Lytechinus pictus: one gene and its partners. Each later gene encodes a partner of the first gene's protein in a complex. Links are inferred from orthologs where the notes say so. Each region holds a gene or a part of one and is shown in the gene's direction. Other genes may lie near its edges. The genes, in order: DNA polymerase alpha catalytic subunit-like, DNA primase large subunit-like and DNA primase small subunit-like.

Region 1 (11,732 bases):
TTCCTGGTACACTCATTTTCTAGGATCTGATGTAGTTCTTCAACATTACATTTTGATAGGTATTGCTTGTTTGGGGATGGATTAATCAATTGCTGCAATTTGATTTGATTTGTAAGAAAAAATTTCTTGCTTGTCTTTGATGTCTTCTTGGAGAGAACTTTGTCAATTGATGTGGTGCCTTCCATTACACCTTCCTCCAATACATGCTCTATCACTTCTTCAATTTTCTCTCTGTGTTTCTTCTCCTTTTCTGTCAGTGAAAGTCTGTTTGCTTCATTTTTCTCTTTTACTGCTTTTGATACATGTGATGAGAGAATTATATCATGTTTACGTACCTCCTTCCCTTTCTTCATTGCTGAAGTAATTGTTTTCTTTTTCTCTTCTGCAGATTTACCTTCCAACCAATCCCTTGTGTCATTGGAGGAAAACATTACCTTGGCTTCCATCTTTCCTACTGAAATGTTTGGTGCTCTGTGTAAGAGAGAGTCTGCCTTTGCAAACTGACGTTCACCAGATATGTTTGTAGATGAACACGTAGCAGCAGCTTCACATAGATCCTGTCCTGGTTCCCAAAAGACTCCCCCTTGCAATTGGTCTTCTAGTTGTCTCTTGCACACAATGACACATTCGTGCATCATTTTCCCCAAGATAGGACATAGAGGAGCTTTTTTGTCATCATTCATGTCGTCAATGAATGGTATAGCTGCACATTCTCCAAAGGCACATCTATTGGTAGAGAGCATCAGTTGTGGATCCATCTCCCAACTCGACATACAATTGACTGCTTCCTGGTATGCAGTGTTAATTCCAAGAATGTTGTCTGCTGTACCTACCATCTTCATCCATGGCTCCGTAATCTTGAGTGAAATAAGAGCTAAACAACAAATACAAGCCTGAAGGTGGGGATCTTGAAGATACTGGTACAAAGCTGATTGTAAATCATTTGTGGGCTTCTGAACTTTCTGAAAGTAATTCAAAATAAATGGCATCATCGCAACTAAGCACTTGGCAGATTTAAATAAAATGTTAAATCGATTTCCTACCCATCTTGGGAATGTTGTCGCTGGACAACCAGCAGTCTTCAGAAAGGATGTCAGAGCAATGCCACATCCAGTTGCCTCATTATGGAATAAATCAGCTACCTTTCTGATGAGGCATGCGGTATTACTCTCCCCTCTCTTCTTGAAAAGTCTATGATATTTATCTTGGCTTTCACTCTCCTTTAATGCATTATCGCATGCCTTGCCAAGGGTGTCCAGAGGGTGCATCCCACATCTGAAGCTGTTGATATGAGATTCCCCTTTCAGGTCAGAAAGTTTCCTGTCTATTGCTGTATTTACACTCGCTCGATCCGTCATCGTATTTGCTATGCCGTCAAGCAGTAAAGGATTCACATCCGATAGAGATTCGTTGATAGCACTGACATATTCGTCGCTTGTTCCTCCAGCTTGCTGACGTAATCCTACCAAGTACGTTTTCTCTTTAGAAGCTAGTTCGCATTCTACTAGGTGACCAACTCGCGATTTTGTTGTCCCATCATACTTTAATGTTGTATTGCTTTTTGACACAAAATGCTCCTCAATCTGGTCCCGACAAATTGCCTTCATCTCAGAAGCAAAGCGTCCTTGAGTTTGCCGAGACGGTAGCTCATTTGTGAAGGTCACATCACATAGAGTTTCTGCAACAACTCTAATTGCTTCACTTACTTTGCCTTCTGCGACTCCTAGGTTCTGTAATTTATTTATAAAAGTGGGGAGGGATACAGTAATAATTTTGCATGCAATCTTTATCAGAATGATGTGACATTTGCTCTTGTGGCAATTGATCCAAGGACAGTTGGTTACGGTTAGGGTTTGACAGAAGTTTGTTTAAAACTATGTTAGGAAAATCAATGTGTAGTGTTAGATTTGGGGTTAGCATATTTGGGCTTTGCCTTTTTTGCCAGAACAATTATAATGAGACTTTTTGTTATTAAAACAGTATTAAACTTTGTAAAAATTACTTAAACTTAAGAAATTTAGTACATGCTTATAGATTACTGAGTCAAACTTAAAATTATCTAAAATGGTTTAAATATAGGAAGAAATAAAACATGCTCTAGAAATAAATTCATTGTGAACAATAATGATGAATGAAATCCTTGAAACCAGTTGAACTGTAGAAGACTGGAAGTTTTGGATAAATAATAAGCTATGCTGTTATCCACATACACATGCTCATCATAACTTTTTTGCCCAATTGTTATCAAGGTTTCAAAGATCCTATTCTTGAATTATTCTGTTTGCATTTGAGTGAACTTCAATCCCTTTTAACATCCTTGCTATTAATGAAAAATGTAAAAGCAATAATCGCTACATTTTTATAACAATTGAAGTAGGTAATTTTTATATCATAGACCAGGGCAACTTTGCATACAAGCTAATATAATGGTAATTTTGCCATCCCATGGTAATGCTAATCACCAACCAATCAAAATCAAAGATTCCAGACAAGTTACCCCGGAATGGCAAAGTTTACCATATTACAATATTCTATGAAATTGGGTCTTTGTGATCAGTTTCCAGTACTGTATCACAGGAAACAATCATGTATCTGATCAATTACCTGTTTTACATATTAAAAATGTCACAAGGGGAGTTTTGAAATTACTATTATGAACATTATATGACTTAATTCCTATCACTTTATTTTTTATAAATCAACTTGATTCAAAGCCAACCTGTAAATAGTAGGATGCTTCTCTTATCTGAGGGGTGTAGGACTGACCAATCTTGGTTTGGATTTGTTGAGGATGATGGGACTTGTTTTTTTCATCTTGAAGATTTTCAACAGTTTCTTTGAGTTGTTCAATCTCCTGTTGCTTCTGGGCGACCTTGATTTTTTCTTGCTCTGTGTATTTCTTTTGAATTCTTTGACGTCTTCTCTTTTCTTCTTGCAATTGTGCTCGAAGTCTCGTAATTTCAATTGTCTTCCGTTTTTCTTCACTCTTTGTCATTTGGTAGTTTATCCTCCATTCCCTTTTAGATTGTTTAAGTCGCTTTATTGTTTCGGTAATCCGTTTTCTTCCACCTCTTACACTGCCAAATATAGATGTGAAAGACTGAACCTTTTCTTTATTCTTTTTCAGTTCCTTCTCAAGGTGCTTCACTTTCTTCTTGTAAGTCATTACTTCCCTCTCTGTTTTTTGTACTATGTCCTTGAATCTCTCAAGTTCTTTTCCTAAATTTTCTACTTGATCATTTGAATAGACTTTTCTCTTTTTAGGACTAGCAGCATCGTGATCTTGGTCTACTTTAGCATTCTTTGGAGGTTGAACAATTTTTCCTGGGGGCTCGAAAGGTTCTTGCAGATAGTTGACCTTCACATCATTTTGGTCTTTAGTTTGTTTTGTTTTGTTTAGTTTCATGTACCTTCCATAGATCCTTGTTAACTTGGTCTGAAGGGCCTTTAAAGAACATTCAGAGTCATATTTGTTTTGAACTATTTCATGAAATTGTGACCATGTAATTCCCTCTCCTCTTGTGAGTTTTGGCAGTAGATCAATGACAACTCCATTAGTAATCCTATCAGCTGGTAGCTGGAGCAGATGATCCACCTCTTCTGACATTTTGGCCATGATCTTATATTAAAGCCAAATAATAATATCTGGAAGGCAAAATAATGATGCAACCTTGCTGAAAAAACCCTTTAAACAATTGAATAATAGTTATTACAATTCCATAATTCAGATTTTCGACCACAGTTCATATATGAAGAAAAATTCCTGAGAACGTAAGTGCCATTAAGATAAAAATCATGACACCTCATGATAAAATACTGGAAGAAAAATTACTCCCCCCCTCCCCTTTCCCAGTGCAGTGCAGAAAAAAATATGTGCAATAATGGTGCTGAAATTGTTAGGAGTACATGACACAGAAATCATTTTTTTCCAAGAATTTTGCGAGAACAAAACATGAAAAATAGAACGAAAAATTCAAACAAAACAGAACTCTAAATAATAAAAAAATAATAGATAAGAATCTTATGTTTCTTTCTTGAATATTTAAATTTCTCAAGCTAGTCATATGCTAGCTGTAATCCAGCATAGAGATCTTGTCATGTGGCATTAGCCAGATATGGTCGTTCATGGCTTCATCCTTGGCCTGGACTGATGTTCACAATCGGCCTGGAAATTTTCTCGCCAGTCGCCAGACATGCGGATGATGAGTTGATAATGGACTCGATTTAGCGTTTTCAGGAATAGATTACGAAACCTGAAGGAAACAAAAATAATAATAAAAGAAAATAAATCAAATCATAGTAAAAAAGATTGTCAATAAGGGCTTTGAAAATAAAAATACATGTGATTTTCATAGAGATTTAAAGGAAAAAAATCATAATATAGAACGGAGCACCTCCCCCCCCCCCCCTTTCACCAATTTATTTCTGAAAAAAAATGTAGCATTTTACAATTTATTAGTTTACAAATAGAAACACTGAGTGTGTAAAATAATCGATTTCCCCAAGTCTATAATAGATCAAATATTCATAAAAGGAAAAAAAATTTAAAAAATCATACCATATTCCGATATCAATACATGATCTAAAAATAAAAAATAAACTGAAGACAGTGAAAACAAGTAAAAACAAAAGTCTGAGAATAAGATGTAAATCCATCATGATTCATAATGAACAGGAAATAATAGGTTGTGTGCTTTGTTATGCATCTAGTTCATTGTAATATAACAAATTTTTAAAGTGAATAAAATGTTAAATTGGTCCATGACTAACTAATGAAGAAAATAATATTACCTACGTAATAAGTGAGTGCAAATGTGCACACTGAAAGCGATACGCGGGACTGTGCAGGGCAGATGAAGCAGACGCCAAATCCCCCCCGCGAAATTCAAGAGCGCGAAGGCGCTAAATCGCGACAATTTTGCCTGCAACAGGCCTGTGCATCAAGCTGAATCGCTTTCATCCGCTAAGTTCTTCCCACGTAATTTCGGTGTTAAATTAAAGCTTAGAATTTCATCTTCATCATGAATCATGATGCATCAGTGTGCAAGTAATATAATTATTCATAAAAGTCAAGATTTCTACAAAATCAGGCAAATTTGGTACTTACAAGTGATTTTCCAGGCCTCTCGATCGTCGTTCGTTGGTTCGCTGGAAGTGCCGATGAGTCAGATGGTAAGTCTATACGTCACACAGCCATATGGTGTCTAAATCATTTTTCTAGCATTCGATATATACATGTATGAGTGGATTGAAGAACGCCATGCCATGGCTCTGGAGCTCAATTTCGCTTCGTCACGCTGCCGCCGCCGGTCGCAATTTTTGTACAGCGAACGGAGCTCGCGAAAAAGCGCCCTCTTGTGATGCGTGAGCGTGCCTATCTAGGCTCTACTCTACTCTCTATTTTTTAGTCTAGACTCTAGTCTCTAGTACTCTACTGACTCGTACTCGTTTGACCTTCATCCATATAATCGTGGTAAGTGCATAATTTCTGTTTTCACAATTCATTTGGAGAAATATTTAGACCATAAATCACGCTAGTCCTGTGAGTATGGTCAAATACACGGTAAGCCCCTGGGCTCCCGCCCGCTGCGCGGGGGGGAGTTCCCTGGGTTACCCCTCTGCCGGCTGCCTCGGCCCGGCTCTGCCTCTGCACTGCCTGGACCTCTGCTTCTGGCTCTGGCAGGATTTCCGGCGAGGAAAAGCATTAGTAATTCCATGAATAATTGTAAATGATTTTTCCTGAATCAGCACTAGGGAAGGGTTCGGGACATAAACCCCCGGAATATACTTGAATAAACCTAAAAAGAAAGCAAAACGTATTTTATCAACTTAAAAAATATTTACCCGAGCCTGGTCCTTGCTCCGGATCCGAGCTGAGGGTGCGGGTACGTGGATTAAGTTGAGGCCAATTTTAATTGTTTTAATTCATTTAAAAACTTATTTTTTTTTAAATATGCATATAAAATCATCAACTAAAAGGTAAAAATATATGATTTGAATATATTTATTTTATTTATCTACACTTAGGAATTGAAACAAAATAATAACTCAAAACTTTTAAAATATATTAATTATAAATTTTAGAGAGATTGTTGTGGACGAGTTCACTTATTATGAATGGAAAGCTGATAAAGAATACTTTATTCAAATCTATATTCCCAATTCTATTTTACATAAGCTTATGATAAAACCTTAAAATAATAATAAAATATGTATCCTTGAATTTTTCTGATACATTTAAACCATTTTAAGGATTTCGTGTAAATTAGTTTTAGATTTGCAATATGATATTTACCCATCTAACAAAATGGACCAGTCTAAATCAAATTTCGCGCGGAGTTTGTTTTTCTGGCGCGCCATTGTTCATGTCGATCCCCAAGTACGGGGACGGAAGCGCCGGTACGGTGAGCGAAGTGGCACTATTTTATCACGGCAGTCCGTCCGCCTGATCTTTCGACGGTGCCCGGTCTACAGTACAGGCTTGTGTTTCCTCGGCTTCACTTGGGCCTGGGCAGATTCGATGCTTCACGACTGACACAATTTACCCACACGCTCCCCTTACCTGGCTGCTGATTTGCTGCTGATTTAGATCTAGATCCAGAGGATGGCACCAGTGATGGATGACAGAGAAAATGGTAAAAAAAGTTAGGATGGGGGTCGAGTGTCCGGACACTTTAAAAATTTTGAAGCCTCCTTTTTTGTCATTGACGCTCTCCGTTCTCACTAACAAGTAACATAACGTTACCGTCCTTAGTAAAACTAACTAGTAGTAACTCATCTAGTTTTCTGGAAACTAGTTAAACATGTATTGTACTAGACAGCTGGCAGCCGTCTGTTTCGAGGAGTTTTTTAACATTTTTTTTTTTTTAATTTCTCCTCATACTGTCATACACAGACGTGAGACGGCTCGCTAGCGTGCAGCCACCATTAGGGGACTTGCAATGCAAAATCCCCCCGTCGGGGCTCTTCAATTTTTGTCTTTAATGAGTACAAATTTTGAAAATTCACGCGACCAAAATGCAAATTAACATTCCCTCTTGGCATCAATTGCCAAAAAACGGAGAAAAATCAAGTTAAAAGGAACAAAAATAGTGACTTACCTCGGCTATCGCGCAAATTCACTTCCCCGTTTTATCCGATCTTAAGTACATAAACATATGGCCATTGAGTCCCCTGTACAGATCGCGCTAGAACTTCGGTCTCTGTATTTGGTGGGTGAAGCCAACGGAGTTCAGCTGAACAACCAACATAACAGAGACCGAAGCTTTTGGTCTAGTATTGTACATGAATGGTTGAAGTGGTCTTTCAATGATTTAAACCACTTCACGTCTTTAATAGGTTAGTTACATGAAATGTAATTGTATTTGTAAGTGGTTTTGACAACCACTTTTAATCGGGTGATCAAAAATGTGACTTCTCGAAACTAGACACAAGTCGCGTGGTGAGAAGTTGATATAAATAATGGCAAAGTACAAAAAAGTACTTGAACGTTTTGAAAATTTCGATTTCTTCATATTGTGGATCTTGGCCCTCTCTACCGTGTTTCAAGTTCAAGAATGGTCTGTAATTTAGCAAAAGGGATAGGCCCTAGATCAAGTCAAAGACAAAGCCAAGTGAAAGTGCAGAAAAACAGTTTCTCTGCGAGTAGATCTAGATCTATTTTTTTTTTTGGTTTATAAAACGAGCGAGGTTTGGGAAAGCTTAATTTAGACGTCAATTTTCCCTCTGCATAAAGCTCCGCCCCCTAGCGACACATGCATTCACTAATTATTGGTCATTCATCACGTGATTTCGGCAATGAAATTACGCAATTTATGACGTGTGCTTAAGTTCAATTCATGATCACTGCACTGTTCGGACGATTCAAACCAAAAAATTGAATTTGAATAAAGTAATTGAGCAAGAAATCCATGATCAAGGGTGGTACTTAAAAGCGTACATGTTTTGGAAAGAGGTGCCAGGCGTGTATCAAGATAAAACGAGCGCCTGCTGGACAAAAGAGTTAAACGCTAAGAGGTTTGAAAGAAGTTTTAATGGTTTGATAATCATGACTCATTAAGATGATACAAAAGCGAGGACAAAAGGCGATCGATGGACCTGACCCTCCCCTCATCCTCCGGGTCTGAGAAAGACAGAACAAAGCCTAAGGTCAGCGAATTCTATAGGGATGGGCCAGATCAGCATGGGTCGGGGATAGTGAGGATCGAGGGATAAATAGAGCAACCACTAAAAGAAGGTGAAAGAAGGCAGTTGACTTTTGGGTTTAAATTTGATTGCAAGTTAAAGTCTAGAAGCTAGAAGGGCACTGGAAAAAGAGCATTATTCTGATCACGCTCGGGCTCTTTCACTTCGCTCCAGTGTTTTGAATAAAACACCAGATGACACTTTGAAAAGAGAGATCAATTTTAAAACTGAGCTACAAAATGTGTTTTTAAAGTGAATACGAGTATTTTGGTAAGAGTTCCATATGCACCCCCCACTAAAATTGAAAATAAAAACATGGAGAAGGTTCAGAATAATATATCTAGCCCTAATATCGAACATACATGTATATGATGGGGAAGTGAAAATACATACCAAAATATGGCTTTATTCCGTCAAATTTCGAGCAAGATCTTGTGCGTGTAATTGTCCATAGACATCGGTTTATTTAGTCAGTAAAGGGTCTGCGAGTCAAGACTAGTCGAACTATCGGCTGATAATCGTAAAAATACCCCTTCCGGTATCAGCGCTTCTTGCTAGCATAGCGGGAAAGGTCTTGACTGCAGATCAAACGAGGTGAGTTCGAGTCCCAACTAAGGTAAGCAACAGTAAAAAAAATGATAGAAAAATCTGAAGTGAACGAACCGGAAGTCTCAACAATCTTTTGTTATTTTTGGTGGGGGGTGCATATGGAACTCTTTCCAGTATTTTCAGTGAAAAAAAGAAAAAGAAAGGGGCGGCAGATCCAGGGTGAGAACACGATAAAAAACAAATTTTACACAAAATATTCATGCGTAGAATCCACAAAAAACAATTGATTTGTCAGTACTAATTCTTTAAAACATTGATTCTTTAAAATTTTGATTTAATACTTATAACTTTATTTTTAAATTGGACAAAAAAGATTTAAAAAAACAAGAAGTAAAATGCAGAGAAGTAGAAAGATGACATGACAAAAATTATATTGTGTTTTGATGGAAAGTGTAGTTTGACCAACTCAAATACTCTTGTAAAAACTTGGTTTAATGAAGATGCATTACAGGGCGGCTCACCAGCTCATCTTAAAGAAGGTGTGAAAAAATGTTTGAAAAAAGGAAGAGTTAAGAAAATAGGGGAAAACGTCCGATTGGTCAATAATCGTGACCATTGTGCCTATGGTTCTCACTGCAAGGATGATAAACTAAAAGAAAATGCATGAACTGTCAGATCATAATATTGATCGTGACTCCAGGTATAAAGTCATCGACAAAGTGTGGGATAGGCCTCTTAAAGGATTAGATTAGATACATGTAAATCAAACTCGGAACATTTCTTTTTTACCATGTCTTAAAGAACTTATTCTAAACAAAATGCGCTTTATCCAGATTACACTCTTTTAAACATATGAGAGCAAAACCGGGAGCAAATCTCGCCTTCATGAATGTCCATGCGAAGCTATATACCTCCTTTGTCCGGTCCCACACTCCCCCTGATTCCCTGAAAGTACGTATTACACAATACCAAAATAACTATCGCGAGCCGCGGCGGGAAGGTTATCGGAGCTGGGAAAAAACTTGGATTTCTCCCATGAAAAACATTATAAATCATCTCTCAAATGATTAAAATCTGAAGTTTTAGATAACTAGATATCCTATGCACTGTTGCTAAGGCCGTTTTCATAATGAAATCGACATTAACTGCTGGAAAAAGCATCACAAGGGCAAAATGGAAGTCCAACTTTAGAAGCGTTTTCCTCAAAGAAATACTTTTCCAGAGCCCTCATTTTCTCGTGTATAAAAGACCTGGATTCCCCCAGTTCTCCGTCTTCCAATAATCTTGTTATGAAACCTGATATGTTTACATTGACTAGCGCACTCAATTGTTGTCGGCACTTGACAGGTGAATGAACTTTCCTAGATTTCTTGTGTGGATAAATCTTTGAAAACTGAGACAGTACCTGTAAACTGGGACGATCCCAATTTGCTGACCGGCACTTCTACTGGTTTTGATCCTCCGCTCTTGGGAGATTAGCAGTACATCGCACTCGATAGCATTGATGAGTTGATCATCTTCTATGATGGGGTGATTTGCGCACGTAGCAGGTCTAGCAATCTAGATCTTGACTCTGCAATGTACTTTTGAAAATTAGCATGAAGTTGATATTCAATCAAAAATATCTCGCAATTTATACAAAGTGAACCAAAATCATTAATACCAAAAGCGAGATCGAAGAGTCAAAATCGCTCGACAGAATTATAAAATAGATAGTATCACGATCTCAATATGGCAATTGACCAGTGCGTGCTCAGCTGAAAAAGTGTCATGAAAAAGTGTGACCTTATTTTGCACACAATAGTTTTGCATTGCCTTAAAAAAGAAGTAACGCAGACAAAGGTAAGATTATCGTATCAGATGGAGGTTAAAGACACCCTTATGATTTCAAGAACCCTTTTGGTCTGGCAGTGACAGGTGAATGGCCAGTGGTAACAAATTGCTGATGGCAAACTATAAATGCGTTTGCACGTTAGATGAGAGTTGGCCCTTAGGCCTATTAACATGTGGTACTGGTCCAAACTGAGCGTCATCCTAGTTTTCTAAGTCTTGCCTCAGCCTTGGTCTTGGATCATATTCAATTGTCTTGAGACTAACGTTAGACAGTATAGAGAGTAAGATGCACACGTACAGCAGATATTGAGACTCTCCAATATGAAACTGGGAGACAATCCCCAATATTTGAGACTTGATTTGCAAAAAGATTTAAAAAAAAACAACACCACCAAGAAGGTAATTATTCCATACCAAAATTTTGTCTCGCTGCTTTCTGAAGCCCATTTGATTTGTGTGTGGATGATATCAAGATAATAAAAAAAAAAAAAGTGATATAGACAGTAAATTTTTGAAGTAGAAATAACGTTCGGTTATTTGGCTAAGAAGAATTATTTTTTCATAAAAAATACATTTTTGTTTGCCTGAAGAGTAGTTAGACAGTCATTGTTTTGTTTTATTACTTTTTGTTTTGATATCAAGTACATGTAAATTTCAAGAATGTTGTTACAGAAGATTATACAAAGGTATGCGGTACAGTGTGAATTCTATCGTTTAAACATAATGTCCAGTTGATTGAGCAGTCAGGGGGGGATGACATCAGAGGTCATTTGGTAATTATAATATGGGTTGATGTTACATACAGAATTTATAAGAACATTTTTTTTTTTACAGGACCATGGGCTTCGGAGTAGAGGGTTATTTTTTATATTTGGGTGAGGGGGATTCTACAATGGTTCCCCCAGCCCCCCATTAACAAAGGATAATCATCTGCGCCGATGCCCATTAACAGGACCTAGTTATTTTCCTTAGAAAAATCTGAATTTAATTTCTGAATATTCTGCGTATTATCCCTTACAGATCAAGATGCTGGTTTATCAAGACGTTCCAGACGTGAGGTCGGCAAAAAGAAGGCAGGGCGCATGTCGGCTCTGGAAAAACTTAAAAATGCCAAGCAAAGTGGGAAAAGATTTTATGAAGAGGTAAACAAAAAATTTCCGAAAATT
Region 2 (11,492 bases), on another chromosome or scaffold:
GGTGTATTGATGTATAAGCACATGTCGTGCAACATCCATGCTCTTCCAAATTAAATTTCATAAGAATTCAAATTCTATTGTGCCCATTTTTATATACACTGTACTTAGTAGATATTTCATGGCTGAGCACACGAAGGTCCAACTTTGAAGGCTCATTAAAAGTAACAACCTTCTTGTCCTCAAACTTCTATTCAATTTTTCACCCTGAATGTGTGATTGAACAGTATAAGAGGGAGGGAAGGGAATACTTACTCAAAATTTATATAGAGAAAGTTGAAATGAGAAAGGCAAAATGGTAAAGATGGAAAGAGAAAAAAAAAAGAAACAGACGATCAACGAGAAGAGATAGAAAGAAGAGGAAGATCAAAGAGAAAGAGAGAGGGAGAGAAAGGGGGGAAATGACGAGGAATGAGAAAGAGGTGAGGAGAGAAAGGCGAGACGAGAGGGAGATAAAAGAGGGCTCGATATAAGGGAGATGGGGAAATAAAAGAGAGATATAAGGGGATAGATAGAAAGGGAAGGTAAGAGAGAGAGAGAGAAAGAAGAGGAAAATCAGAAAGAATTAAGCCAAACAGAAAGGAAAAATTATAAAGAGGGAGATCGAGATGATATAAAGGGGAGAAATAAGAGAGAGAGGGGCATGAAAGTAGAAATGGAAAAAATAGAAGGGGATGGAGAAAAGGGAGGATAAGAGAGATGGACAGAAGAGGAAAATCAGAGAAAATGAGATGAGATGAATAGTTGAATGAGAAGGAAGGTTTAAAAAAAAAGCTAGAGAAAAGGGACATGATTTCTAATCGTTAAATTTTTTTTTTTAATGCAACCAGCTATATAGTAGGCCTTTATTGTTAAGACAAATTGTAGGCCTACTCAGAAAGCATATTTGTTGTGGGGCCTTTCTTTGTCACAGTGTGCGCGTGAAAAAGGTCAATCACACACAATCATGGCATTGATGATGTGAATAGAGACCTATTCTTAACATCAGCTACCACTCAAGCAACACGTGGCCACCCTTACCTTAAAAAAAATACAAGCTATTTTTTAAAAGGAGTAGACTGGCAGTGAGACAAAACACCTTCAGTGTTAGAGTGGTTAATGACTGGAACTCTTTGCCTACTGAGGTAGTCACAGCATCAACAATCAATGGCTTCAAGACAAAGTTAGACAAGTTATGGGGAGTGTTTCATCAACATTTTCATCCGACAAGTTGTCAGATCTGACATCTTTCTCTGATGTTGATTGGCTGAGATGTACTGTTACTATGGTATCTGTCGGATAAAATGGGACTTGTCGGATAAAACGTCCGACAAGTCCTTTCATGAAACGCTCCTCTGGTCTGCGTGAAATTATGTTCACGCATGGGAATAGTGCCTTTTTCATTTCAATACATTGGCACAGCACATTGCACAAATAGCACAGACTCAGTTTTCGAACTTATCCAAGCTAGGAAAACAACAAGATAGACCTGGAAACTTGACTGCAGGAACAACTGTATTTTTCCAGTAGATGCGGTATAAAAAAAAAAAAGGGCTTCTGACCGCAGTGAGACAAAATTTTGGGTGGAAAAAATCATGCTTTTGTTGGTGTTGTTTCTTTTGTCCTTTTGCAAAGCAAGTCTCCAATGACAAATTGACATGTGGGAGATTGTCTCCCCTATTGGAGAGAGTGAGAGTCTCCCATATTGGCCGTGCGCCTCTACTGTTTGAGGGATATTCATCATATTAGGGGGAATTGACTTCACATCGTTCAGTAGACAGGAATAACCGTCGTTTCTGGGGATTTATTCAACAATTTCTGACATTTTACTGTAATCCCCATTTACCGACGGTAGGGTGTACGTGTGGGCTCGCATGTGTTCTCATTCCCTCCCTTTTGTCAATTCACAGTCCAAAGTTTGATGTAATTTTACACATCGAATTTACAATCTAAGGATGTATAAACAACAAACTTTTAAAACTTGATATTCCAATATTTAAATACTTTAAACGATATAGATGAAAAAGGCATGAAAATTATACTTTACCGATGTTTAATTGGGTTGAACACGATAAAAATGGTCAAAATGGCAGCCAAACTATAAAATATTTACAAACGAACGGAGAGGGCGTCAACAATCACGAATGTGATATCGATATTGCTTTCGATATTATACGATCTGCTCCATATGCGAACGAAACCGAAGATAAACGATACTAGTTATACTAGTACTAGTACTAGTTATAATCGCGATATATCGATTCGAGACATTAAGTTAATAACGATAATGACGTCATTCAAGATGGCAACTTGCAAGAAAAACCGTCAGGTCAGGTGAAAATGTCTAGAGGCGCTGGTCCAAAAATTGGGATTGTCCCGGAAAACAAGGATATCCTCATAAACCAAGACAAATCATGTCTTGATAAATTGAGACTGTCCTTGTTTATGGGGACGTTTTTTTTTCACTTCCCCCTACGGGACAAAGAGAGCAATTACGGGAATTGAGAGTGCTAAAAATAGATTCAGTGACCTCAATTCCCCCCAGTTCACCGTCTATTTTTCATGACTTACTGTCTTCCCATAATCTTGTTATGAAACCCGATGGCCCGTATTCTGATAGCGTGGTTTAACTTAACCCTAGTCTAAGTGTGGTAATAAACTGCCATATTTAAACCTAGGTTTAAGTTTCGTATTCCGATAGCAAGGTTTAAGTTAACCCTGGTCTAAGTGTGGTAATAAATCCTCAAAAAGTTAAACTCGCGCAGGGGGTAGTTTAAGCCTGGTTTAAATCCAACAAATCATGGCCAACAATTTTTTTAGAATTTATGCCTATATTGCATTACAAGCTACTTCCTCAGTTTTTAACCGATTCTCATGAAATTTGGAACACACATTGTTCTCAAGGTAAGGAGGTGTAAGAAGTTTTTTTTTCCTTTTTTGGAGATTGTGTTGCCATGGCAACAGTATATTATGGCCAAAATTTTGCCGTTTAAAATACTTTCATCAGTTTTCTACCAATTCTCAAGAAAGTTGGCTCACTCATTGATTATGAGGTAAAGATGTGCAAGACACATTTTTTAATGTGTCGGAAATTGTGTTGCCATGGTAACGGTATATTATGGCAAAAATACTACTTCCTCAGTTTTTAACCAATTCTCATGAAATTTGGCACATACATTAGTCTTATTGTGAAGATGTGCAAAACATATGCTATGCCTAAAGTATATAATTGCGTTGCCATGGTAACAACATATTAAATATCGAAAATGAGGTGAAAAATTTAATTACTTTATAATTTTTAAACCATTTCTCATGATATTTGGCACATACATAAGTCTTGAGATGAAGATTTGCAAGACACATTTTTTGCATGTGTCGGAAATTGTGTTGCCATGGTAACGGTATATTATGGCAAAAACCATTTAAAAAATTTTCAATTCCAACTATTTTCTCAGTTTCAACCAATTCTCATGAAATGTGGCACAAACATTAGTCTTGATGTAAAGATGTGCAAAATATATTTTATGACTTTGTAAAAAAATAATGTTGCCATGGTAACAAATCAAATATCAAAGTTAGATGAAAATCAAGTGATTTGAACTACTTTATCAGTTTCCAACTGGTCAATTCTCTTAAAAATTTGGCACATACATTCATGTTGAGGTGAAGATGTCTAAGATATATTTTTGTCTGTATTAGAAATCGTGTTGCCATGGTAACAACATATTAAATAACGAAAATAAGGTGAAAATTTGGTAGTTCGAACTTCATCTTTTTTCAAATGCTCATAAAATTTAGCACACACATTAGTCTTGAGGTAAAATAATCTGCAAGACACATTTTCTCATTCATCAAAATGTGTGTTTGTATGGTAACTATACACACACCAAAATAAGATTAAGACAATGGTCAATGCTAACTGTTGTTTGGCTACACAGAAAACTACATGTAGCTGTAGGCTTAGTTCTAGTTTTAAGGGAGTGCTAGACCTCTAGATCTCGAACTACAGTCCCTAGCTTTAGATCTAGGCCTAGATCTAGATCCTTTAGATCTAGCAATAGAAATAATCCAACGTTAGATCTCTAGCCTAACGTTACTTCCTTTAAAGGCCTTACATTAGATCTACTGTAGACTAGCCTACATTTACTACTTTTTGATTTAGGAATCTACATTGAGCATGTTGAGAGTCTACAAATCTCTAGATCTAGACATATTACATGTAGACCTAGATTGTTATAGATCTAGTTCTAGGTCTAGATCTAGCCTAGGCCAGCGTTAGAGATTCCAGATCATACAGTAGACTAGATCAGCCAGTCCTAACATTAGGGCTACCGGCTAGGCTAGAAATAGAATCTAGAATGAATAGATAGCACAGACTAACCTTAGGCCTGGATCTAAATTCTTACATAAATCTAGGTCAGGCCTAGTCTAGTCAAGACTGAGCCGTTGGTCTAGGTTTAGGCCTGTTTTCTAGTCCTGGACCTGGAAACCTAAACAAGTCCCCCAAAATGTTTAAATAAAAAAAACTTCAAAGAAACAGATATGGACCTAAACAGGAGTAGAGAGATGTCTAGGACTAATTCTAAATTTTGCCAGGCCTAGTTACTTGGCAAGCAATGCAGCGATAGTCAGATCTAACGGGATTTATTTTAAAAATTCTGACATTTTACTGTCATATCACATTGCCTTGGTGAGAGAGGCCAACGTAGACTGTCATAGTTCAGCGGAACAACCAATGCAGAGACTGTTCAAAGCTTTTTGTCTACATGTATGTAAGAAGACAAATCAGATCTATTCCACTAGATCTAAGTAAGGTTAGAAAAGCAATCTATATCTATCCCTGTCCCAAGGGCAGGCTAAGCCAGTCTAAGTCCTGAATGTTGTTCTTAGCCTAGACCAATATGTAGCTTCAGTCTCGGTTGCTCCACTAAATAGACGGTACGTTTTGCTTCAGGAAAGTAAAAAAGTCAAAACAATGTTCAAAACTTCAATTCTCCTCCAAAAAAAGGAGTCCAAACAATTGTTGGCCTAGGCTAGTACTGAGTAGGGCCTATAGGCCTAATGTTAGACCCAAGACTACTCTCAAAAGTTACAAAAAATTTCTCTTACTTAAAGTTAGAATAATATTGTCGACCATTTAACTTATTGTTTTAGATCTAGGACTAGAGTCTAGACTCTAGTCTAGAGTGGGTGAGGGGAATCTAGTCAATTTAGATTTTGACAAACGTGAAAAGCAATAAATGGGACTGATACACAAAAAACTATGCAGGTCACTCGGTTTGGGATTGAAATGTTTTAGTAATTAAAAAATATAAAGATAATCTGAAAGAAAATTTCTTACCATATATGGGTGATGAATGTTTTTCTTTCACTACAATAGTTGTAATTAGTTTCCATAAAATCCAAATTTTTAAGAAAAAACAACTTTAGTGACATTTTTTCAACTTCGTTGCAGTCATCCCTGCAGCAGTAATTTACCACAAAGGTGCTAGTCTTGGTTAAAAGAGGATTATTATTTCCAAACAGAATTTAAACCCGGGTTTAGCCCAGGTTTAGTTAAACCTGGCTATCAGAATACCAAAATAATTAAACTACACTTAGACCAGAGGTGAGGTTTAGAGGAGGTTTAGTTAAACCAGGGTTAACTTTAGACTAGGGTTAAGTTAAACCTGCTATCAGAATACGGGCCGATATGTTTACATTGACTAGCACGCTTGATTGGTGTCGGCACTTGACAGGTGAATGAACTTTCCTAGATTTCTTGTGTGAAGAAATCCTTATAAACTGAGACAGTCCCTGTAAACTGGGACGATCCCAATTTTCTGACCAGCGCCTCTACTGTAGATGACAGATTTCTCAATCATCATGATCATCCAGAGGATTTTTTTCAATAACTCCGGCCCAAGGTTAACCCAGAGAGCTCCAGCCCGCGTAGCGGGCTGGAGCCCAGACGCGCAGTGTACAAACGGGCATTCAGGTGAGAGTACCGTGAAGTTTGGTCAATATCATTTACATAATACATAATTTAAACAGAAATTAAGCACTTACCACGATTGTATGGATGATAGTCTAACGAGTGGCAGTTTCCTGACATCGAGGCACAGACTGGAACCTCAAAAAACGATCAGTTCTGTCGCGGTAGCTCTCCTCTTTCAGAATTCAACACAAAATGGCCGATCGAGACCGAGGCTAGTATAGCACTAGCGCATATAGACTTTGTCAAATTCGCGCATGCGCCCTACACCCTCTCGAACGGCCATTTTGCTATGAATTTTGAAAGAAGGAGAGCCACCGCGACAGAACTGATCGTTTTTTGAGGTTCCAGTCTGTGCCTCGATGTCAGGAAACTGCCACTCGTTAGACTATCATCCATACAATCGTGGTAAGTGCTTAATTTCTGTTTAAATTATGTATTATGTAAATGATATTGACCAAACTTCACGGTACTCTCACCTGAATGCCCGTTTGTACACTGCGCGTCTGGGCTCCAGCCCGCTACGCGGGCTGGAGCTCTCTGGGTTAGCCCAAGGTATGCAATTACTTAAGTTATTTATATTTCCCTGATAATGGAAACCATGAAACTTTCAATTTTGCTTAAAAAACAGTTTTAAATCGCGATCTATAAAACGCTAGTTCACTATACGTTGGCTGTAGGTACGGGGCCCCATCCCCTTCAGTCTATGTATGGTGAGTGGAGCCAACGTAAACTAGTTCAGCGGAACAACCAAAATACAGAGACTGAAGCTTTTGGTCTAATCGTTCAGTAAGTTTCTTCTCGTATGACTTTATTTTATAAATCGACGGTCTCCTCTACTCTGTCGAGCTCTTGTGAAATTCGCGGGAGTTTGTTGCAATTTTGCATGCGCTGTGCCTTCAATTTACCTGTACACGACGGCAGTAATATACACCCATGGGTGCGTTTAAACATAACTTAAGTACGACAATACACCAGGCGGTGGACTGTACTGTTTCAGAAGAAGAAGAAGGCTTCAGAATACGGGCCTATATTTCCCACGTAGACACTCTAACTTAGATTACAATGTGTGGGACTGGGCTTAACGCTAGGGGACAAAATATCAGGTGAACTCACTTTAACACTTTTACTGGATCTCCGTATTTATCGTAAACCAATGATTTACAGGACGGAATCGATGAGAAGTATCTAAATTCTAAAAATGGTGCACGCAATGCTTGAAATCTTGAAATGTTCCCTGATTTTAAAATCCATCTCGCACATATCTTGAGGCTCATGGGCGCTGCCATCTTGGATTTGTGTTTGCGGAAGTGGAGAACACCCTCTCGCGGTTGATTTTGGCAAACGCGGGAAATTTAGTACGGGAAACTTTCGGCACAACATTACAATCTTTTTCGATTGATTCGAATTCACTGCGTGTGGCGCGGACCACTTTTAATATTTCTTCTGAAGACAGAGAGGTATTTCATCCAGATTTATCATTAACATGGAATTCTCAGAGAACACCACGAAGAAGAGGATCAAGAAGGAGTCGTTCATTGACAAAACCAAAGAACCCCATTTGCTGTTTTATCGGATTCCACCAATTGAGAACATTTCCCTCAGTGAATTTGAGGATCTTGCTAAACGAAGATTGGCAGGTAAGTCGGCGATTTCTTGCTTGCAGTTTTCAAGCGCAATGTACGCGCAATTCCCATGATTGTTTGATAAAATAGAGACACCAATAAATGCAATAACTTAAAAAACATAGGGGCCTACTTTTTATATTATTTTTGCTGACGATAATTAATACTTTTTGGAAAATATTGAAAGCGATGACAAATTAAACAAAAAAAAGAGAAAATTCTACGGACCTTGAAATTTGAATGAAGCCCGCAAGAGCTACCCTTCGTTTGTCAATAAATCATAATGTTTCACCAAAGTCTTTACAGTAAAAAGACTGGACACTTTGCCGACTTCGCGTAACGCTTTGCATCGATTTACGTGTAAAATAGTTTTTGTGCCTAGTCTTTCCCTCTACTTGTACAAGTTGTACTATTTGTACTTGTAGTGTCTTTGATATGAAGATAAATCGCACGCCCTCTTTAGCTAATTAGACAAAAAATTTGGGAAATAGAAGCAAACTCCGTATTTTGTCAACGAGAAGAAAAATCAACGCTTAAATGATTGAGGGATAGGCTATATCATATTAGGGGGAATTGACTTCACATCGTTCGGTAAGTTTCGTAGGACTTGATTTTATAAATCCTCTTCTGAAATTCGCGGGAGTTTGTTGAAATTTTGCATGCCTTCAATTTTCCTGTACACAGCAGCAGTAATGCACCCATGGGTGTCTCAATGGCTGCCTGAATTGATGATGCTCTGGAGCAGAAATTTAGGCTGAAAAAAAGGGTCGAGCGTGGCACATACATGTACATACAAACAATGGCATGCTGAGTAACCCCCCCCCCCCCCCCCCCCGGGACGAAGAGTGCAAGAACATGATATGAAGGAAGTTAAAATCGAATGTGTTAGGGTCCAGACTCCAGGTCAATTTTTTTTTTTTTGGGGGGGGGGTGAATGTACTATTCTCACAACTGCCTAACGTTAACTGTTTAGCCCAAATGTTAAAGGTCTAGTCCACACAAGAAAAATATTGATTTAAATCTAGAGGAAACTCCAACAAGCATTTAAAAAAATGCTGAAAATTTCATCAAAATCAGATGAAAAATAATAAGAAAGGTATTTTAAAGTTCAACTTATTTTTCACAAAATAGTTATATTAACAAGTCAGGTCTAGATCTCACTATAACATAAGAAAAGTAAAAAAAAATAATTATTATTGTTGAGTGATTTCCCTTTAATTTTGTTTTTTTAGTTCTGAAGCATGTTGAGTCTGTTGGTATCCGGCATGTCAAAGGAAGTGAGGAGTATAACGAAAGAATGGACAAAGAACTAAAAAAATTGATGCCCATTGCCCACAAGAAGGTATTGTAAATATTCACAACTGTTTAATAGTTCCAGAGAGAGAGAGAGGCCTGATTTTCATGAATCTAGTAATATTTCAATGATGATGATGGTGCTGATGGTGATGATGATGATGATGATGACGGAGATGATGGGGAGGGTTTGGATAGCATTCACAGAGAGAGAAGGGGGGATCCTGTAATGCATGAACTGAGTCATAATGATATTTTAACTATGATTATGATAGGGATGATGATGATGATGATGATGAATTGATGAGTATGGAGATGAAGAGGATGAGGGGGTGGAGAGGGGGGATACTGTGATGCATAAACTGAGTCATAATGATATTTTTACTATGATTATGATAGGGATGATGATGGTGATGATGATTTATAATGATAATAATGAGGATTCTGACAGTGATGATGGAGATGATAAAGATGATGATGATGACTGATGATGATAAGGATGAAAATGATAATGACGATAGTGGTGATAATGATGATGGTGACGATGATGATGATGATGATGGTGACAGTGATGATGATGATGATGGTGATGATGATGATGATGATGATGATGATGATGATGATGATAGCAATAAGGGATTATGAAGATGGGGAAGGCGATGATAGCAGTCAAGGGTTTACGATGGTAGGGTGGGTGTGATGATGATGCAGGAAAGAGACTATAGGCCTATGGTGACCGCAATCATGATGCTAACATGTTGCTGCTGACTGTTGATGATGCAACAACTTTCTCACAGTTATGCTCTGGAACCCAAGCCACAAACAACCAAACAAATATTGCATCAATGTTTAATAAATAAATATTTTCCATTGTAACTTCTTTTTTTATATTCTACCATGACAGATGAGTGGGGAAGACTTGGCAGCTCACAAGAGAGATGATCGGATCTCCCATTTCATCTTGAGGTTGGCTTACTGCAGATCGTAAGTTGAATACAAAGGGTTACTCTTTGTTTAACCCATTGTAGACTAGCTGAGCCCATATCTAATCTATCTCGGCTCTTTGGAAGATTTATAAAGACTTTGAGGGTTAAAAATAGTATCTTTAGTATAGTTGTGGGAATGTAAAAACATTTTGTTAAATTTTCTTTACATCGTAAACAATATAGGCCCTATTGGACAAATCTCAATTATAGTTCATGTAGATTAAGTAAACTTAGAATATGTCCATCTCCATGCATACAAATGTGGCTCAGAATGGTGTCATTTTAGGATAAAAATTGGTTTTATTTCTATGTCATAATTGTGATACTGGTATAGATTTAACATTGGATGTGCAATACACATTCTTTTTGCATTAACTACGTGTAACTTCTTAATTAAATCTGTTTAAATAATCATCACTAACCTACCATTTAAAGATAACAATTGTTTTGATAAGATACGAGATGTTAGTCAAAAGAACCGATGAGTTGTGTTTCACATTTCATATATTTTTTTAGGCTCTACATGTACCTTTTTGTTTCTTCTAATGGTGCTTTATAGGGAAGACCTCAGGCGATGGTTCATCCAGCAAGAGCTTGATCTGTTCAGGTATCGATTCCTGAGGGAATACAGTGAATCTGTCACGCAATTTCTGGCTGAGAACAAACTTCATTACACTCCAGTGAGTAGAGCATTAATTAATTTTCTTGTACATCATATCCATTGATTGAAATGATTTTAAGGAGTGGGAGGGGAAAGAGGTAGGGGTTTAGAGAAGCACCTTAACCCTTTGAACCCGAAAAGCCGGAATACCGGCTTCACCGTGAACGCGCATATACCCGGAATACAGGCTTCAAGTCGTGTGATTGGAAAGCAATTGTTTTTAGATATCAATTAATATTTAATACAGATATTTTGTCGATAACTTCAGTTTATAATTTCATGGATGAATGGCTTCCATTTATAAAGTTTTACCGTAAAAATGACCAAAATATACTGCCCTACCAAGGAGATTCGTGCGATGATACATGGTGATGTGTATACGGACCGTGCATAAGCTACTTTTGAATTTACTTCTGTCAAAGCAATAATTTTGAGACAAAATTTGAGATTATAGTTGGTACGGGTAGCTATAAAACATCAGCCGGGCCAGGCCGGGACCAGCAGAGTGAGGTGCCGCTGACATAGCAAGGCTCATTTCAAACGTCATATGTTCTTTCATTTTTGCTGATAGTGCCCAAATAATTCAAGGTGAGGGTCACGACCGTCCCAATTAATTCAGAGTTCAAAGGGTTAAGCACACATATTCTTGCCAACTAAATGCTAAAGGCAGAGGGATTGTAAAAACACAATAGTCTTGTAAACGACAGCGAGCTAGGGGAGGGGGAAGAGGGGAAGGAGGTATAAGAGAAACCTTTAATCACACATATTCTTACCAACTCAATGCTGAAGGCAGACAAAAGTCTTGTACATGTAAATGAAAGAGATGGAGGGGAAAGGTGAAGGAAGAGAAAGGGGGAGGGGGTAGAGAAACTCCTTATTCCTGCCACCTCAGTGCTGAAGGCAGAATGATTATAAAAGCAAAAAAAAGTCTCATAAATGAAAGAGATCAAGGGAAAAGTAGAATTGAAGAAGACGAG
Region 3 (10,729 bases), on another chromosome or scaffold:
AGCACCTTAATATGCCAACATTTCTGTATTGCTTTATTCTGTATATTTTTTATGCAGTCACTCTATACTGCATCAAATTGATACGGACTAAAGCAATAGAGAATTAAGAATCTTGGCTCGATCATCACTTAGTACTTTATGCCCACAAACTTTTCTTTATTACTTTATTCCGTATTTTGGTGAAGCTTAATTGTCACTCTTTATTAGCACCTAAATAATTATGCCCCCCCCCCAAAAAAAAATATATATATTATTGCGTTTCAACTTTACTATATCGGTTTTTACGTATTTTGTTGAAGATTTTATACTAACACCCGAATATGCCTCCCATTTTTGTTGCCTTATATACTTTTCCTTCGCTCTACCCCCCGCCCAGCCAGACATTTCAAACCCAGAACACCACTTTTCCCGCCCTCCGGTCAATAGTAATTATTAGAATCTCGGTTGATTCGTCCCTATGCTCACCAAGTTTTCTCTATAAGCTTTATCCCGTATTTAGTGAAGTTTGTCACTATACTAGCACCTTAATCAATTTGCCCATCAAAAAATTCAAATTGCGTTTTAACATATGTTTTTCCATTATTCCGTATATTTGCAGCTAATCACCTTTGAAATATACATCTGTACCATTAAAAGTTCGTCTTGCTCTTTCTTGAGGAAAATAAAAATAAGCTAACATTGACAAAATCCATTTATGATAGGGTGACGATGGAAGAGTAGAAAAGATACGCAAAAATGTTGGACATAATAAAATGCCCTATATAGAGTTTAACAATTACGGAATAAAGCAATATTGCGAAGGAGGAAAATTGGGAAACAACATAAAAATACAGCATGAAGTGAAAGTTCATGAATATATAAAATCATGCATAAAAGTTTATGCATTATGTGCGAGATGCGGCAAGACACATCTTGATGTCAGTGGGGCACGATTGACATGGAGGGCGCAACTTTTCGCAGAGGATTAGAGTGAGGATGGTTTGAGAGGATTAGAGTGAAGAAAGAAAGGTTTGAGAGAGATGATTGATGAGCTTGCCGGGCGAAAAAAAAATGAGGAAATTTGTTGACTTGGAATATTTTGGCGGAAGGAGTGAAGGAGGTTAAAATTCAATATAACGGGGCATTTATATATAACCAAGAAGGATAACGCAAAAGTGAGTATATGAAATTATTTACAATTTCTTGTGCATACTTTTTTTTTCAATTTTGCCGTGCCTACCAAAATGCCACATTTATTTGAAAATATCCGAGAAGATCGTATATTGGCGGACCGATATCGACATGAGGTTTGCTGTAGAGGGGATAACTTGGGAGTTTAGAATGAAAAAAAGGAAGCTATATATATGTTAAAATAAAGTTTTAGGCCTACACGCCGACTACGAACATCAAGTGCAAACTAGTTGCGTGAGTTTTTTGTTCCATGTTTAGGCCCCCTGTTGCCTAAACAGAGAAATGTTCCGGGTGTTATTTCAGGTGACTCAATATACTCAATAGTAAACGCACATCGTGTTAAAATACATAGCGATAATATAAACGAAGTGAAAAAAATAACAAAATCCTGTTTGGAATTATTGGTACCAATATATATATTTTCTAATGAATTAAATCACTGATCGTTGATTCCCTGGCCTGCTATAACTGCCGCCGGGGAAACCTCCGTACGACTTGAGCGCTAAACCAGTTTCGGCTGTCAGCTCATCTCATGTGGCATGCTGACTACGATGCTGGACTGCAGATCAGAAGGTTCGAGTTCGATCCCCATCATGGACAGAAAAAATAAGGTTAGTAAAACAGTGTTACGTAATATAATATAATATGAAATGAAATGCACAGTATGATGAATAAATTGGATGGAATGAATGAATGAGGAATAAATCTACCAACCATGTATCATACAGAAAACACAAAAAGAAAACGAAAATACGATGCACATAGTATTTTATTGAAAACCCGCCGATTTCATATATTTTAGTGCCCCTTCACCCCCCCCCAATCCCTAATCCCCGCCCCTCTCTCGCACAGCTGAAATACCCATTAACACGCCACTTCACTGAACGCCGATATCCCGCTGACTGAGCTTTGTTATTGTGCGGTCATGTGTGACACCGGTCGCACATGCTCTTACGCACGTCTAGCGATAAGAATTTTCACTGGGCTGAGCAGTTTTAATGGCGCTTGGGCACAATAGCGAATTTGGCCGTCCCCAAATCCAAAAATGGGGATTATTAGATTCGCACAGCTCGAGAACTTGCGAAATGATAACACACACAAATGAAACACACTTACACTTTGGTTCTCTCCCTATTATATACTCGTGATACAGTCCCCACTCTGCGGGAAAACAAGTTTGATTTTCACGGCGGTGGGGACAGTTTCAACAGTATAGTATACTCGTGATACAGTCCCCGCGCTATGGGATACACAGTTCACTTTGCACGCAGTGGGGATAGCTCCAACAGTATATACTCGTGATACCGTCCCCTCACAACATAAAATCGTGCTCGTTCGACAAGGGGATGGGGACAGTTTCCCAGTGCAACGTGACAAGGAAGACTCATTCAAAACCTTCGGGAATTATTATTATTATTATTGTCATCATCATATTATATTATCATTTTATCATTATTATTATTTTATCATAATTATTATTATTGTTATTTAATCATAATTATCATTATTATTATTTATTTTATTATTATTACTATCATCATAATAAATATTATTCTTTATTGTTGTTGTTATTATTATCATCATAACAGTGATAATAGTATAATAAATTATTATATTATTATTATCATTATTATTCTTTATCATTGGAAATGTGCCCCTTCAATCCAGTCCGTTCCTTGTATTTCATTTAATTCCTTCAAATTAAATCACTGTATAGACTCATTCATAACTTTTGGGTATTATCGTAATTATTATCATCATTATTGTCATTATTTTTTATGGTATTTATTTATTATTTACCTAATATTGTTATCCTTATTTTTTGTTAACATTATTTATCTTTTATTGATTATTTTACAATAATTATTATTATTGTTATTATTCTCTATTATTAACATTATATTAACCTTTATCATAATTATTATCAACATCATTATTGTTATTAATCTTTATTATCATCATCACCATCATTATACTATTGTTGTTATCATTACTTTATTTTCATTTCCGTCACATATTTGTATTGATTACTTTAATGTTTTGGGGTGACTCTTTCAATAATAACGACAACAAAAATGAAAATGATGCCAATGATGATAATAATTATGATAATAATTAATACCCAAACGTTATTATGAGTCTACAGTGATTTCATTTGAAGGAATTAAATGAAATACAAGGAACAGAATGGATGGAAGGGGCACATTTTCAATGATAAAGAATAATAATAATAATGATAATATAATAATTTATGATATTATCATTATCATTATAATAATAATAATAACAACAAAAATAATAAAAAAATAATGATATATGATGATGATAGTAAAAATAATAATGATATTAATAATAATAATAATAATGATAATAGCAATAATAATAATGATAATTATGATTAAATAACAATAATATTAATAATGATAATAACAATAATAATTATAATTATGATTAAATAACAATAATAATATAATGATAAAATGATAATAATGATAATATAATATGATAATGACAATAATAATAATAATTCCCGAAGGTTTTGAATGAGTCCTCCTTGTCACGTTGCACTGGGAAACTGTCCCCATCCCCTTGTCGAACGAGCACGATTTTATGTTGTGAGGGGACGGTATCACGAGTATATATACTGTTGGAGCTATCCCCACTGCGTGCAAAGTGAACTTGATTTCCCGTAGAGTGGGGACTGTATCACAAGTATATAATAGGGAGAGAATCCAAGTGTGTGTTTCATTTGTGTGTGTTATCATTTCGCAAGTTCTCGAGCTGTGAGAGAGTTGGGGACTGTGTTCTGGAGAAAGGAAGTGATTTTCATGCGTTCTGGTAGGTGTGATTCTAATAATCCCCATTTTTGGATTTGGGGACTATATCACGATTATGCCCATAGAACAAGATTGCAAAGACAAGGCGAAAAAATCCAACTTTTTAGTTTTACTTTTTTAGTTTAGGGGCCTACTTGATAGTTTAATTTTTAGTTTTACCTTATTTATCTCTAAAATGACAGAAAATGCTTAAAATATCATATAACAGTTTTGCATTAACAATTGATATATTTTCTGATGGAAATATGGGCCTGATTTGCCGAATTTCAATCTCATCCGCTCCTTCGATCGAATGTTGAACTGGTGGGGTGTGTTGACTAATGTCAGTAGACACTCACACGTATTGCGAGGTTTATAGTATGTACTTATATGAACCTCGCACCACCGTCACCACGTACGTGTTTACAGTATGGATTTTAGAGTTGCCGGTTAACATCGCTTCATAACGCGAATAATGTTAGCCGAAACTCATTCCGCTACTCACCAGGGCTTTTTCTGGTGAAAAGCGTTCCATTTTCAATTTTACAAATTTTATTCATGGAAAAAGCATGCAAAAAAAGAGCAAAATTGCTTACCTCGGCCTGGAAAGTTGCTTTGCATGTCTCTTTGACGGAAATAAAAGGAAGGTCGTTGGTGGCGCTAATACAATTCACAACCTTAATTCAGCTTGACGGTATTTTTTAAATAGATTTTTTATTCATGGTATGCGCAATTCCAATGATTGTTTGATATAATAGAGACACCAATAAATGCAATAACTTAAAAAACATACTTTTTTATTATTTTTGCTGACGATAATACGTTTTGGAAAATATTCAAAGCGATGACAAATTAAACAAAAAATATAGAAAATTCTACGTACCTTGAACAAAGCCTCGCAAGTGCTACCGTTCGTTTGTCAATTAACGTTCCACCAAAGTCTTTACAGTAAAAAGCTCAGACACTTTGCCAACTTCGCGTAACGCTTTGCATCGATTTACGTGTAAGATAGTTTTTGTGTCTAGTCTTTCCCTTGTAGTGTCTTTGATACGAAGATAAATCGCGCGCCCTCTTTCGCTCATTAGACGAAAAATTTGACAACTCGCAAGGTTGCTTTGTATTTTGTGGTCAATGAGAAGAAAAATTAACGCTTAAATGATGCTTTTTGAGGGATAATCACCATATTAGGAGGAATTGACTTCACATCGTTTGGTAAGTTTCGTAGGAGGATTTCATTCTGTAAATCCTCTTATTAGATTTGCAGGAGTTTGTTGAATTGTTGAATGCGCCGTGCCTCAATTTTCCTGTACACGGCGGCAGAGATGCACCCATGGGTGGTCAGTAGAGGCGCAAGGCTAATATGGGAGACTGTCTCCCATGTGGGAGATTACTCCAATATCAGAGACTTTCGTAAAGAATTTGGGTATCCAATTTCAGAGACAGTCTCCAGTTTGGGAGACCAACTTCCTTTGTTTACATTTGCTGCAAAAGGATTACCTTGGCGGCAAATAAAAATGTGATAAGCAGATTCCTCATGAAAAATTACCCCTTTTCAACGTCTACTTTAAAAATTCACCGTCTACTTTTGTTTTGATAAGGATTTTTGTTGTCATTCACACACAAAACAAATGGGCTTCTGACCTCAGTGAGACAAAATTTTGGGTGGAAAAAATCATGCTTTTGTTGGTGTTGTTTCTTTTGTCCTTTTGCAAAGCAAGTCTCCAACATGGGAGATTGTCTTCCATATTGGAGAGAGTCTCCCATCTGGGCCGTGCGCCTCTACAGATTGTGGGTGATCGTCGACTACTAGTTCTCAAGTTACCGTCCGCGAGGTTTACTGTATAATGTTAGAGCCGTCGACGAACATCGACGGCGCATCGATAGAACTTGATACGAACGAGCATAATATTGGAAAGAATCGTTGAACATGCAGCTAAAAAGAAAAAATAAGATTAGTTAGCAAACACAAATTTATTATGTCCAATTGTTTGGCCCATTGCCAGCCAGACAATTTAAACCATGCAATGCTTTGTTTGTTAAGCTGATCGGACCATTGACAATTGCATTATTTCCCTCCTCTTTTGCATTTTCAATGTTTCAACCTAAATCTTAATGCAATTTGTCCATACAGTTCCAAAGAGCTACTTTTTGAATCGTGAGTTTTCCTTCACTCTTGAGAACGACATCTACATCCGCTACCAATCGTTCAGTGACCAGAATGAATTGGAGAAAGAGATACAGAAAAGATGTCCATACAAGATTGATATCGGCGCTGTATTCACGCACAAGGTATTTTACGTAGGGCCATTTTAAAACCTGTTTAACCTTTTCACAAAGAAAGATGTTTGTGGTGGTGAAAATTAATCAAGATATAGAAGATAAATCTAGTATTTTGAATACCATTATCTCAATGTGCATGTATCATACAATGTGCTTCCATGGGATTTTTATTGAATTTAATACAAAACTACAGAAGTTCAGTGGCATTAAACAAATGTAAATGCATGATATTGAATAAATAATATAAAGAAATATGCAAATCATTTTGATTGTGGAATGATAAAAATTTTACTGCAACTTTTAACCACCAGAAATACATTTAGTGGAAACATACATGTCAGCATATTCAGCTGTAATTGAAGATCATTTGTTTGGTGATTTTCAGCATACTCGATTATCAACTAGTTCTCATTATTTCACAATGTTCGACTTGCTTTTTTATTTCAAATCCACTGTACCACTAACATTTTTCACAACCTACCAGTTTATGAATTCTATAATTGTGTTGAGGGAAAACAATTCATCTGATTATTTCATGACAGGATTGGCAGGAAAATAGATTTGATAAGGGGGGGGGTAAGATTGCAGATGAGACCTCTTTTTAATTCCTTGAATTATACTCTCTTTATATCCTTCATTTCTGAACTTTTTAGCCCAAAGATCATCGGACGTTAAAGGCGGCTGCATTTCAAGCCCAGGAGAAAGAGCTTGTCTTTGATATTGATATGACGGATTATGATGATGTCAGGAGTTGTTGCCAGTAAGTGAAATAAAATGTATAGTGATTGCTCCTGAAATAAGGGGCATATTTTGATTTATCTCCCATAGGCTTGTTGTGGTCTGGTGGTTGTGACTTTCAGACAGAGGGTTGTGGATTCAAATCCCAACCATGGTGTGTTGTTATTTACATTGTGTTGCACTCAACCGTGATGACGTGAATGGGTATCTGGCACTGACCCTGGAAGTGGCAGCTCGAGGTAAACCAGGGATGATAATTCTAGTGCACCACAGAATAGATTATTTCTACAAAAATGGCGGTAAATAAATTCCTTCTTTTAGTTTCGTGGGCGGCTCCCCTTTTTGCATCCTAGTTCTCTATAAGAATTTATATGAATGTTGTTGGTATAAAATGATAGGAAAAGAGGAAAGAGTATCGTGAAATGATTACAACAAGTTTGCAACACTATAAGTGATTATTTTGCTATGTTCAGGTCAAAAGTTTACAATGATCATTTGACATACAGATGTATACGAAAATTTGCAGAGGCATAATGGCATAAGCACGTAGGAGATACCGGTATTTATCTTTTAGTTGCTTGATGAGAAGATTTGATATGTATCAAAGAATATAATAACTTTTACAACTGTTTTATCTTTATTTCAATATTATTGTCTACTCATTACAGAGGTGCAGATATATGCTCCAAATGTTGGCCCCTGATGACGATTGCAATAAAGATTGTGGACAGTGCCCTCTATGGTATGACCTCTATAGATATTTTGAAATACAATGTGGATGTATATTTCACAAGAATATGACAGCTAACATTAATATTTTGAGTGAAATAAATCCCAAATTCTTGGAACAAGCATCGAGCATTAAGAAACTAGGGCCGGGTTGAACCGACTGATGTTGCCAGTCACCAGTGCCATTTTCTGCAGACTGGTAGATCGATGAACTGATGAAATACATTTTATCAGTTTAAGAACTAAATTTCTTAAGTTCCATGTAATATCATCAACCAAGTGGGACTTTGGACATAAGAGTACCATGCAGTACTTGTCAAAATTCTTGCTTTAATATATCGGCCTATTATGATGCTGTATGTGTTTACTACCATTTCTCACCCCAAGATTGCACTATAACTCCGACAGACCGGTGGAGTGATTACAATTTATTATTATTATTATTTATTCGGCATTTCAAAATACATGAATTATAGTACAATACAAATTACATAAAATACGTGACATAATACAAAGGACCTGGAATAGAGATAAAGGGGCTGCCTGGGTTTGGAAAAGGTTAACTAAATTACCACGACCCACAGGTCTTCCTTCCCTCACCCCTTTACCTCCATCCAGGTCAGTATAAGAATATTAAAAGAAACATGAATTAAAAGTATACAACTGATACTGGCAACAGTTAATTTGGCGAAACAAATGTAACAAGGATCCATCAGCAATTATCATTTCAATTGATTCATTGCAATATAATTATAAATAATAAAGTAAAAGAAAAAAAAAGTAATTTGACTTGATTGTGTACATATCCAAACTGTTTTTAATTCTTAATTGACTATTTTATTTGTCTACGGTTGGACAAGAAATTGTGCTACACTGAAGAATTTGACAAATGACTAAATTAATAAAATTTACAAACAGATGAAATATGGCTGTGCCCTTGAATAATTCAACAATATAACATTATGAGCTGATAAATTCAAGCAAAAACTTTTGAATTGATCATTTGTGCAGATGACTTTGGTTTTGAGCATCGTTTGTGGGTCTACTCAGGGCGACGTGGTGTTCATTGTTGGGTGTGCGATGAGGCTGCTAGAAAACTATCTCAGAATGCACGGTCAGCAATCGCAGAGTATCTCAGCATTGTCAAGGTAATCATTAGCTACCTATAAATAGAGAATAAATTTGCATATGGTAATGTTGATATTATAAGTATCTAATTGCTTTATATAGTATATGAATATTCTGACTGTAGGAGGGTTCCAATTATTTTAGTATGAATTCTGTGAGGAATTTATTATGCAGACCAGCCATGACACCACATTTTTTTTTTTCATGTGATAATATATCACTATTCTCTAAGCGAGAACTGTCGATACTCATGTGATGCCCATCATGTTTGTATTGTAACTATTTATCTCCACAGTAATGTTCATTTCTTTTTTTACTTATTCTTCATTTGGAATAATACAGATTTTATATGGTTTTGTAGGTTAAATATGTGATGCATTATAAGGGCCATCATTTGAATTAGAAGCTCACATCCGCTCAATGTATTGACGGTTAAAAGGGTAACAATTCAGAGTATAAGATCTTTGAAGTTAGATTAGAAACAGCTTGATAATGACAATTTGTAAATTAGAATATTGGAGATTTAGAGCTGAGTTATGGACAAAGTTGATTTTCTGTTTATTTGTTCAGGGAGGAGAAAATCAGGTGAAGAAAGTCAGTCTTCCAGAGCAGCTACATCCATCTGTAGAGTGAGTTTCTAGTCTCATATTCACAAAGGTGGTTTCAGTTGTACCATGTTACAAAACAGTGGACTAAGTAGATTTCTTCTATTATCAGACTTCATTCAAGCATTAATTTAGGGCCCTTTTCAAAAGTGTGCTTTTATAATTGAACTTTTCTTGGTACTTGTTGAAATAAGCCTAGTTACATACATAATATCTGCTAATGTTGTAACCCGCAAGTGAAAACCCGAACCGTACAGTCCCGTATAATCCAATAATTTGCAAGCGGTACCCGCTGACCCGTCGGGTTTTAACCCGCAAGTCAATTTATCTTTGAAAAATGAAAAATATTATTTCTGCAATCCCTACACTTATACAGGCTCAAATCAGGAAAATATATGCCAACTACTAACCTAGCCTAGAGCTTACAAACTTACAATTTGCAAATTCGCCTTTTATTCCGGAGAGAAAATGTTTTTTGGGGTGACTTTGTACCACGAAATGGGTCCGCTCTGATCTCGAAATTGAAAGCATTACGCAATTAACTCCTCTGATTGGAGCCGCAGCTCAGCGCGCGCTAGCTAGCCCAGGCTGCCCAGCAAAGATCGGCAATGTTGTTTTTCAGTCCAGGTCGGTCGACACGGCAACTCACAACAATCATAATTACAATATTCAATTCTATGGGACCTCGTCTATAAAGTAATCAAAATTGAAAGAAATACCAGGATAATGATACAGTCAATTTTTTCTTGTATATCTCCATGTTATTTTCTTCTGTTTTTGTATTTCTTCCAATTCTTTGTAAACTAATACAAACGTGCACGAGGGCGCCCATGAACTTACGTAAACAGCTCGTGTTACTAGTGCTTGGCTAGCTTAGCTATGCTTTTATTTATTTTTATTTTTTATCTCTCTCGATCAATCGGTCAAGAGAGAGGTACCGTATTTGCAAGAAACTTGCAATCCATTGTAATCCAATTTTACATCTTCTGAAATCTTAAAGACTTTCAATCAATTGTACACCGGAAAAATTAAGAGATCTGGGGGCCGTTTCATAAAGCTGTTCGTAAGTTAAGAGCGACTTTAAGAACGACTGGTGATCCTTTCTTACGCGCAAAACCATCGCTAATGAATATACCATTCGCCATATGTAAGGATCACCAGTCGCTCTTAACTTAAGAACAGCTTTATGAAACACCCACCTGGGCATTCAGGGTGCGGGGGCTTCAGTTTTCATCAGAAAATGTATGAAATAACGAAAAGGAG

What was found.
Region 2: DNA polymerase alpha catalytic subunit-like (region 1) and DNA primase large subunit-like share a complex: the UniProt entries of both Drosophila melanogaster proteins name them as parts of the alpha DNA polymerase complex. The link is inferred for Lytechinus pictus from reciprocal best matches to the Drosophila melanogaster genes PolA1 and Prim2.
Region 3: DNA polymerase alpha catalytic subunit-like (region 1) and DNA primase small subunit-like share a complex: the UniProt entries of both Drosophila melanogaster proteins name them as parts of the alpha DNA polymerase complex. The link is inferred for Lytechinus pictus from reciprocal best matches to the Drosophila melanogaster genes PolA1 and Prim1.

What each region holds. Positions count from the first base shown.
Region 1 is NC_087260.1:5,128,094-5,139,825, forward strand, and holds the start of DNA polymerase alpha catalytic subunit-like, read left to right. Parts: upstream 1-6,342; 5' UTR 6,343-6,604; coding exon 6,605-6,635; intron 6,636-11,586; coding exon 11,587-11,708; intron 11,709-11,732. UniProt on the Drosophila melanogaster protein: Catalytic subunit of the DNA polymerase alpha complex (also known as the alpha DNA polymerase-primase complex) which plays an essential role in the initiation of DNA synthesis.
Region 2 is NC_087261.1:23,509,696-23,521,187, forward strand, and holds the start of DNA primase large subunit-like, read left to right. Parts: upstream 1-7,289; 5' UTR 7,290-7,436; coding exon 7,437-7,590; intron 7,591-8,807; coding exon 8,808-8,917; intron 8,918-9,772; coding exon 9,773-9,852; intron 9,853-10,413; coding exon 10,414-10,534; intron 10,535-11,492. UniProt on the Drosophila melanogaster protein: Regulatory subunit of the DNA primase complex and component of the DNA polymerase alpha complex (also known as the alpha DNA polymerase-primase complex) which play an essential role in the initiation of DNA synthesis.
Region 3 is NC_087245.1:19,760,808-19,771,536, reverse strand, and holds the start of DNA primase small subunit-like, read left to right. Parts: upstream 1-6,083; 5' UTR 6,084-6,098; coding exon 6,099-6,275; intron 6,276-6,919; coding exon 6,920-7,026; intron 7,027-7,672; coding exon 7,673-7,746; intron 7,747-8,744; coding exon 8,745-8,881; intron 8,882-9,431; coding exon 9,432-9,490; intron 9,491-10,729. UniProt on the Drosophila melanogaster protein: Catalytic subunit of the DNA primase complex and component of the DNA polymerase alpha complex (also known as the alpha DNA polymerase-primase complex) which play an essential role in the initiation of DNA synthesis.